2 linked regions of the Oryctolagus cuniculus genome follow. Each later gene encodes a partner of the first gene's protein in a complex. Links are inferred from orthologs where the notes say so. Each region holds a gene or a part of one and is shown in the gene's direction. Other genes may lie near its edges.

Evidence for each region.
Region 2: CNOT11 (region 1) and CNOT8 share a complex: the UniProt entries of both Homo sapiens proteins name them as parts of the CCR4-NOT complex. The link is inferred for Oryctolagus cuniculus from reciprocal best matches to the Homo sapiens genes CNOT11 and CNOT8.

The regions. Positions count from the first base shown.
Region 1 is NC_091433.1:107,382,813-107,387,044, reverse strand, and holds the start of CNOT11 (CCR4-NOT transcription complex subunit 11), read left to right. Parts: upstream 1-1,225; 5' UTR 1,226-1,298; coding exon 1,299-1,824; intron 1,825-4,232. UniProt on the Homo sapiens protein: Component of the CCR4-NOT complex which is one of the major cellular mRNA deadenylases and is linked to various cellular processes including bulk mRNA degradation, miRNA-mediated repression, translational repression during translational initiation and general transcription regulation.
Region 2 is NC_091437.1:41,744,810-41,749,360, forward strand, and holds the start of CNOT8 (CCR4-NOT transcription complex subunit 8), read left to right. Parts: upstream 1-1,746; 5' UTR 1,747-2,055; intron 2,056-2,093; exon of another isoform or gene 2,094-2,527; intron 2,528-4,551. UniProt on the Homo sapiens protein: Has 3'-5' poly(A) exoribonuclease activity for synthetic poly(A) RNA substrate. Its function seems to be partially redundant with that of CNOT7.

The DNA.
Region 1 (4,232 bases):
GAAGACCTTTCTCTCTCTGTCTCTCTCTCACTGTCCACTCTGCCTGTCAAAAAAAAAAAAAAAAAAAAAAAAAAAAAAAACCTTAAAAAAAAAAAAATCAGAAGAATTAAGGTGGCGTGTAACTAGACAACGAGCTAAAGGCACTGTTCAGCGCACATAGGATTCCCAAACAGGAATTACTGTAGGGTTAGGGAAATGTCCGCCCCTGCCCCAGTGGTTCTCAGCCCACATGGCACCTTACAGTCACCTGTGGAGTGTTTGTTTTTGAACACGGGATCAGAATCCCTGGGGGTGGGACAGGCACTGGGATTTACAAAGGCTAGAGCAAGCTAAACACAAAGTGGCACAGGAATGATTCTGCTAATGCATATTTGTTGCAAACATCTTCAAGTCTAGTTAAACTAAGTAAGATTCCTGGATAAGATTCCGTGCTGCAAAAAAAGCGTAAACATCAATTTTGGTGAATGTGTGGTGTCTTCAATTTGCACTATTTATTTATTTATTTATTTTTATTTTTTTTGACAGGCAGAGTGGACAGTGAGAGAGAGAGACAGAAAGGTCTTCCTTTGCCCTTGGTTCACCCTCCAATGGCCGCTGCGGCCGGCGCACCACGCTGATCCGATGGCAGGAGTTAGGTGCTTCTCCTGGTCTCCCATGGGGTGCAGGGCCCAAGCACTTGGGCCATCCTCCACTGCACTCCCTGGCCACAGCAGAGGGCTGGCCTGGAAGAGGGGCAACTGGGACAGAATCCGGCGTCCTGACCGGGACTAGAACCCGTTGTGCCGGCGCCGCAAGGCGGAGTATTAGCCTATTGAGCCGCGGCGCAGGCCAATTTGCACTACTTTTTACCATGAATAGTTGAGGATATCACATGGAAAAGTATTTAGCACCGAAAATGCATTTTTCCAAACAATAAAGCACCCACCATTTGCTGGGGCAGTCTGGTGCCAGGCAGTGCCTGGGCTACTCCTAAGCGGGTACGCTCCCGCTGGACCTGGGGCACCCCTACTCCCAGTCCATTAGCACCGAGCCAGACCAGAACCGGGCCGGCCGGGCCCGCCCCCGCCGCTCCAGGAGGCCACAGCCCGACTTCCGGCAGCGTCGCCCCGCCCACCTCGCGTCTCCCGATCCTCTCCTGGGCCTCGCTCCAGCAGCCTCGCTTTCGCTCGGCCGTCAGGTTTCACGGCGTGTTTTGTTTACGACGCTGTCGTGTAACGGCGCGCTTTACGGCTGCGGGAACGGAGTGCGTCGGCGCCAGGGCCGCTCGGGCCGCCAAGCAGCGCGGGCGAGCGAAGTTGATGCCCGGCGGCGGGGCGAGCGCGGCATCGGGCCGGCTTCTCACCGCCGCAGAGCAAAGGGGGGCCCGAGAGGCGGCGGGGTCGGCGTCCCGGAGCGGCCCGGGGAGCTCCGGCGTCGGCAGAGGCGGATCAGGCGGCCCCGGGCCGGGGAGCGGCGGCGGCGGCGGCGGCCCGGGGGGCCCGGCGGGCAGGATGAGCCTGACCCCGAAGGAGCTGTCGAGCCTGCTGAGCATCATCTCGGAGGAGGCGGGCGGCGGCAGCACCTTCGAGGGCTTGTCTACCGCCTTCCACCACTACTTCAGCAAGGCCGACCACTTCCGCCTGGGCTCGGTGCTGGTGATGCTGCTGCAGCAGCCGGACCTGCTGCCCAGCGCGGCGCAGCGCCTCACCGCGCTCTACCTGCTCTGGGAGATGTACCGCACCGAGCCGCTCGCCGCCAACCCGTTCGCCGCCAGCTTCGCGCACCTGCTCAACCCCGCGCCGCCCGCCCGCGGCGGCCAGGAGCCCGACCGCCCGCCGCTCTCAGGTACCTCCCCGGGCGGGGTGGGGTGGCCAGGGGCGGCCTTTCCCCGCGACTCTTAGCGGGTGGAGAGGCGGTGGTTCGCTTGCACCGAAACGTACTCACCTCGTCTGTTGCGAGCCATCGATGGACTTGGGCCTGGGATTGCTCTCCTCTCGAATACAGCCCGGCGGAGGTGTGTGGAGGGTGGAGCTGCGAACCCACGGGCTCTGCCCCGGTCTCCAGCCGCAGCGGAGTGAGTGCAAGTCTGTACCCCAACCCGGAGGCGTGGTTGGCCGGAAGGACAGCGTGAACAGCGCCTCCTGTGCTTGGTTACCTGCCCCCCGGGTACTGGGATTGAGGACAGAAGGTAGAAGGTGCCGTCTCCCGGGTACTGGGATTGAGGACAGAAGGTAGAAGGTGCCGTCTCCAATCAACGGTCTCGGTTAGAAAAACGCGCGCCTCCCGGGCCGTTGGGTCAGATGGCTACTACCAGTAGGGTGGACGCAGGGATGCGGCGTTTAGATTTGTGTGGATTTGCCGTGGGAGACTGGTCAGCCAGACAGAGAGGCGGTGGTGATGAAGAAGGGGACACGGAGGCCTTAGCGGGGGACCAGTGTCGCGGGAACCGGCTTGATCCGCTGGCGCCGCGATGGGGCAGCGGTGGGCCCGCCGAACCCCCAGCCACGGTGAAGGCAATAGGTTTTGAGGTGATACCTGGATTTTTTCCAGTGCGCAAGAGGGCGTCTACTTGGCCATACCTCTGGATCTGAAGTTATCTTCTCATTGGTCCCCTGCTTTTGTGTTGGGCCGAGATGGCTTTTAGGTACGGGTGCTTAGGCCACTGTTGGCAGCAGGCAAGAACCAGCTACTGGAGCCCGCGTGAGCAGGAAGCGGGAGTCAGGAGCCAGAGGGAGGCCTGGAATCAGGAACCCCGATACGCGGGGTGGGTGTTGCAGCCAGCTGCAGGCCAAGCAGGTGGATTTTTGAACAGCTTTTCAGATGAGTGTGAGCCCAGCGAGGCTTGCAACGGTACCTGAGACTCTGGACTCAAGAAGCTGGCAGTCTGGTTGAGAGACAGCCACAGCAGACTGCGCAGGGCTATACCGATGGATGCACAATGCCCCTCACAGAGGAGCCCTGACTACTGTGGAGCTGGAGAGGGTCTCGGGGGTGATGTTCTTGCTGGATGTAGATTAGGGATGGGGGTGGCTGGGCGGAGTGTGGGGCCCTGTGAGGTGCTGTTGGAGAAGCGCTGTGTTCAGAGGAGGGGGGGTGGTTTGCGCGGCTGGACTGCACCCGCATGAATGGGAGAGGCGTTGAGGGTGAGCTGTAGGTGCGGGTGAGCAAGGTAACTAACGGGAGCAGGTTTACCCTCTACAAGTGCAGCTCAGTGGGGGGGAGGCAGACACGGGCCCTGTATGGGTGGCAGGTAAACAAGGGTGGCCCTGGGAGCCAGCGGGAAAGGAGGGGGCTCGGGAAGGAGCTGAGGGGGTGCAGTGGGAAAGCTGACGCGTGGCTGGCTGCTGTCCGGCCACACTGCCAGACTGACAGCTGAGGTTTGGTGAGCGGATGAACATGGGACGTAGGGAAGGCTCACACAGCCAGTGGGAGTGTTCGAGGGGCCCAGTGCATTGGAGCCAGGTATGGGGTGTGTGTGGGCGTCCCTACTCTTGCTTTCTGCTCTCAGCTTCTGTGTGGTTGCAGCAGGAAAGAAGGAAATGCATTCTGAGGGCTGGAGGTTTTTTTTTTTTTTTTTTTTTTTTTTTTAAGATTTATTTTTATTTATTTGAAAGAGTTATAGACAGAGGTAGACATAGAGAAGTCTTCCATCTGCTAGTTCACCCCCCAGATGGCCGCAACGGCTGGAGTTCTGCCAATCTGAAGCCAGGAGATTCTTCCAGGTCTCCCTCGCAGGTGCAGGGGCCCAAGGACTTGGGCCATCTTCTACTGTCATCCCAGGCCATAGCAGAGAGCTGGATTGGAAGAGGAGCAGCCGGGACTGGAACCGGCGCCCATATGGGATGCTGGCGCTTCAGACCAGAGCGTTAGCCCGCTGCGCCATAGTGTCAGCCCCTGGAGTTTTTATTACCTGTGTATGCTTGAATACATGTAAGCTTTATCATGAAAGGATTTGAGGCATCTTGGGAAATGAAGTTGTTTTTGTTGCTGTTGTTAAAGGTTTGTTTTATTTATTTGAAAAGCAGAGTTAGGGACGGAGAGAGAGATCTTCAATCCATTGGTTCACTCCCCAACTGGCCACAATGACTGGGCCAGGCCAAAGCCAGGAGATTCTTCTAGGTCTTCGATGTGGATACAGCTTCCCAAACACTTGGGCCATCTTCCCCTGCTTTCCCAGGTGCAGTAGCAGAGAGCTGGTTTGGAGGTGGAGCAGATGGGACTTGAACCAGCGTCCATATGAGAGACCAGTGTTG
Region 2 (4,551 bases), on another chromosome or scaffold:
TGAGAATAACAGGAAGGCTTGTCTGGTCAAAGATATAATTGCTTCTTAAGGAGACCTATTTTTATAATATGCTTTTCAATTAAAAAAAGTCTATACTCTCCCAACTGAGATTTGTCCAAACCTTATGATTTGAAGTTCAAAATTCTTATCAAATATGAAATCTGTTATTGAACCTATTTTTCAGCATCCCTGTCACGCAGTTGGGATCCTCTCCCACTGAGTCAGCCATTTCCACAACTGTCCTAATTCTGCAGTAGCACGAGTGTAGCATAAAATCAATTTTTTTAAACAAACACTCCAGTGCCCCCTGAGATGCAACCCATCTGTGTTTGCTTTAAATTTATCTTCAGTAATCTAAGAGAGGAACACCCAGTTCTGGGTGAGCAGTGCTGCAGGGGATGGTTTCCTGTTTGATTGTTTCAGTGCACACCAGGCCCTGAGCTGCAGGAAAAAACAAAATTCCAAGGAAGGATTGTGGACGCCTCTTCATGGGACTAGCGCCTGCCTGACAGGGCTACCTTCTCCCCAGTCCCAGCCTAAGTGGGTGAAAGGATGTTAGAAAACCAGAACTGGCTGGGTGTTCCTCCACCGACAGCTCTTGCGGAACAGCTAATAAACACTGACAGTTTCAGGCAGAACAAACAGGGACGTGCCAGGAACAGGGATTTACTGAAGGCTTTTCTATGTCTTCCTGCTTGCGGGATCCTCCCCACCCCCTGCATTTATTAATTATTTAATCTCCACAACACTGTGAGGGTCAGTCCATTCCTATTCTGAAGCTAAGGGGACAGACACTCATTTGGAGGGGAGAAAGCGCACTTGATGCTGTCACCCCGGGGACCAGGTTTTGGAAACCCCTCTGAAATGGCCAGCTCGGCATCCGGCCTCGGCAAGGCAAAGGGTTTTGGAGAACCCGCTTACGGGGAAATCTTTAAAAGCCAACAGCCGGCAGGCCGCTCGTAGGTTACTAGGGCTGCGTCTGCACTGTGTTTGAACAACGGCCCTTGGCTTCACCCCCAGGGACAAGGGCGGAGCTCCTTCGAGAGCCACAGCGGGGATGGCCCTGGGCCTGGAGCCGAGCGCAGGGCTCGGCGCTTTGTCTTCCCGGCAGCCGCCGCTAGAGCACGCGAGTGGCAGTGGCGCAGCCCAGCCTGGCCAAACGCTGCCAAGGACAGGCGTTGGCGAAAAGCCCTCTCTCCAAAACAGGATTAAAAAGGAATCCAAGGGTTGGAAGAACGGCCCTAGAGGCCGCGTGGGCTGGGCCTGGGACCCCCGACTGTTCAAACTAAAAAGTGGGGAGACTGCCCCACGATGGAATCTCTGAGAAGGCCGCGCGCCTGAGCTCGCCCAGGGAAGGCGGTGTCCCCTTAGTACCCAGCCCGAGCAGGCCGCGAGGAGCCGGTTGCTGCGGTAACGCGCCGGCCCGGCCCCGAGGTGCGCGGAGGGAGGCGGACACAACCGAAGCTTCGGTTTGGGGGCGCCGCCGCATCCCCAACTAATTGTTTGCCAGCAAGGAACCCATGAGGCAGATGTTAGTCCTAAGTGAGGGATCCAAGGGGCCACATTAATACAGAAGGCCGGCTCAGGATCCTTCCCCAGTACACTCCCAATCCTGTACTGCCAACGACTTTAACGGTCCCCCAAAGCAGGGAGGAGGGGGCGCCGTAGTTTGGGGGATTGGGGCAGACTCGACACGCCCTCGCCTCGGCCTTTGGGTTCCCCAGGCCACGCCCACCAGGAGGGGCTAGTTCTAGACCACGCCCCTTCCCTGGGCGCGCGGAAGGGAAACCGACATGGAGGCGTAGAGATCGTGCTTGAACTGAACCAGCGAAACTAATCGCGCCAAGGCCTAGAGCGGACTGTCTTCCGCATGCGTCTTCCGAGGCCGCCCCGCCCCACCATTTTCGCGGCGCCCTCTTGGTTCTGCGCCTGCGCGCTGCTTCCCGCGAGCTCCAGGGCCCAGAGAGCACGCACGGAGTTGCCGGGGCGCGCCAGAGGGAAGCGCGGCCATGAACAGGCGCGCGCGCGCGCCTCTGGAATGACGCAAGAGAGCAGGCGAGTCGGGAGGATCTTACGGGTAGAGTGGCGCAGCTGTGTTGTTTGGTAGGCGGTGCGTAAGGCCGCTCTGGGCACGGGGGTTCCCATCTCACTGGCCCACTCGGTTCTAGGAGCAGATCCGGGGCAGAGGGAGGAGAGCTTCGGGTCAGGGGCCGCCGCCGCCGCTGCCGCTGGGGAGTCCGGCTGCCAGCCCGCCAACCCGCGCTGCGCGGGCCTTGCTGGTCAGGGTAAGCGGGCTCTCGCTTACCGGAAAGAGGAGCGTGAGCTGGAAGAGTGGGAGATCCTTGGGGGCTTGTAGGAGGAAGGGCAGTGTGCGAGCGGCAAGCAGTGAGGCGGGGAGGAAGCCCACCGAATAGTAGTAATAACAATCAGTATAATCATTCTGATCCTATTCCGGCGATATATGCCAGGAGTTTGCAAAGCACCTTTTATGCTTCATTCTGGGTAACCGCTGCTGCAGTTCTCCGAGGTGCATACTAGTCTCAGACCCATTCTACCAGATAGGAGAAGTGAGGCACCGGAGAGGTTAATTTATGCAAGTGCATACGGCTGGTTCGTGGCCTGGCCTGTCTGGCTCTAAGGCCTGTAGTATTCATATCTTCGTTTTGCCCTGGGCGGGGGGGAGGAGTGGGGTGTTCGGAGGGGAGGGCTGAGTGTGGTTTCAAGTGGGAGGGGGATCCCGAACGGAAGAGGAAGATGAGGCTGGAGACTGAGTAGGGGAGAGGACCCGAGTTCTGACCTCACTCACCTCCTCCTCCTGAGTTCTTGCAGCCCTGCAACTTTTCCTTGCTGCCGTGTGTCTTTAGGAGGCAGAGCCATTACCCTGGAGGAGCTCACCCCAGGCCTGGGACACTCTGGGGTTTTAAGGACTGGTTGGACTGCACTTGGGTCCCGGGCCCAGCGTCTCCGACTCTGTGTTTAGGCGGGGGAAGGGCGGGGGTGGTGGCGGCGACCCTGTGGAGCGAGGTCGCCCCTCCTTGGTGATGCTGCTGCCACTTCTGCTAACGCGCTGCTGCTTCCTTTTCTATCTTACTGGTGCAGGGCAGAGCCTTTCTTCGGTCTTCTCAAATAGTGCAGCGATGTTTATTGTTTCCTAAGCCAGAAAAACCAAACATTCAAGTAAATGATCTTTCTCCTGGCCAGGCCGGTACTCTTGATGGCTTGCGTAGAAGGCTTTCGGTGGTCTTCTCCTGAGTGGCTCTTTAGAATTTTTCTGGGGAAATCAGGAACTCTGTTATGGGGAAGATTGCTCTGTAGGTGGTCAGGACGGACCCGAATAGGCTGCAGGACCTTAGTAATCTGAAGGGGGTGTGTCCTTGCAGTGGAAGTCAACTTTTAAAGTCAACCTCTGAGGCAGACGTTGTATGCAATCAAAAGTATCCTTAAAGACTCCTTAGGAAGAGGCAAAATTTGAGATTGATGTCTATTTTTGAGTAAATCCACCACTGTTTTGTAACAAGCCTTGAAACTTGTTACTGTGTCTTTAGTTGCAACCCAGGTGAAGTAAAGAGCTGTGTGGTACAAATAGTTTTTAAGAACTTAGAGTCATCATGGACCAAAAACCTGGAGAGACTTAAAAGGAGGAAGGGAAAGCAGAGGCACTGTCCTGTGTGTTTGTGGTTCCTGTTTTGGGCTTTCTGGAGGGTGTACTGGCAGAACGGAAAGCGGCAGGTGGAATTGCTGCTGCTAAGTTGCTGTTTTGTTCCTCTTCTTTTGTCCATTACATCCATTCGATTCGAGCTGCTGAATTAAATGCGCACAGTGTGATTCCTCTTCAGGTTTGGACTGGCACTGCATTGAGGGTCTTGCAAGCTGCTGTTTATTTCTCCACAAATTTCCTAGCTGAGAATTTGGTAGAAGACTGTTCTGCGTATTTTTGCCAGTGGTCTGGTTTGTGTGGTCACCGTTTGTCAGTTAATGTAAGACAGTGATTAGGTTTTTAGCAGTGGTTAGCTTTTTAAAAATAAATGGTGGCTAGTGGCATTTTTTTTGCTCGTGTCTCTTTTGTTGCTTTTGCGGAAACATCTTTCAGGAGTGATACCCACTTCCCCTAAACTGGTTGTGGTAGTGTTTGAAATGACGTGGAAAAGCAAGTGTGTTGTTTCAGCTAGGGAAATAAGGAAGTGACACCAATTTAACATTAAATAGGCTTAGAAAATGGTTGTAGTCCCATTTATAGGGGAATGTTTTAAGTTTGATTAGGAATCTAGAAATCTGAGACTCAACATTGTGTTGTCTTTTTCTTTAAATGTTATCTTTATCCATTTTACTTATTTAGGAGAGAGGGAGAAAAAGCAGGCTTCCACTTCCTGTCTGCCCATTAACCCCCCAAATGCCCACAGCAGCTGAGGCTGGGTTGGGGTTGTGACTGGGTCCAGGGCCAGAGCTGAAGCCTCGGGGGAGTGAGGAATTCAATATACGTCTCCCACGTGCATGGCAGGAACCCACTAAATAGAGCCATCAGCACTGCCTCCCAGGGTCTGCCTTGGCAGG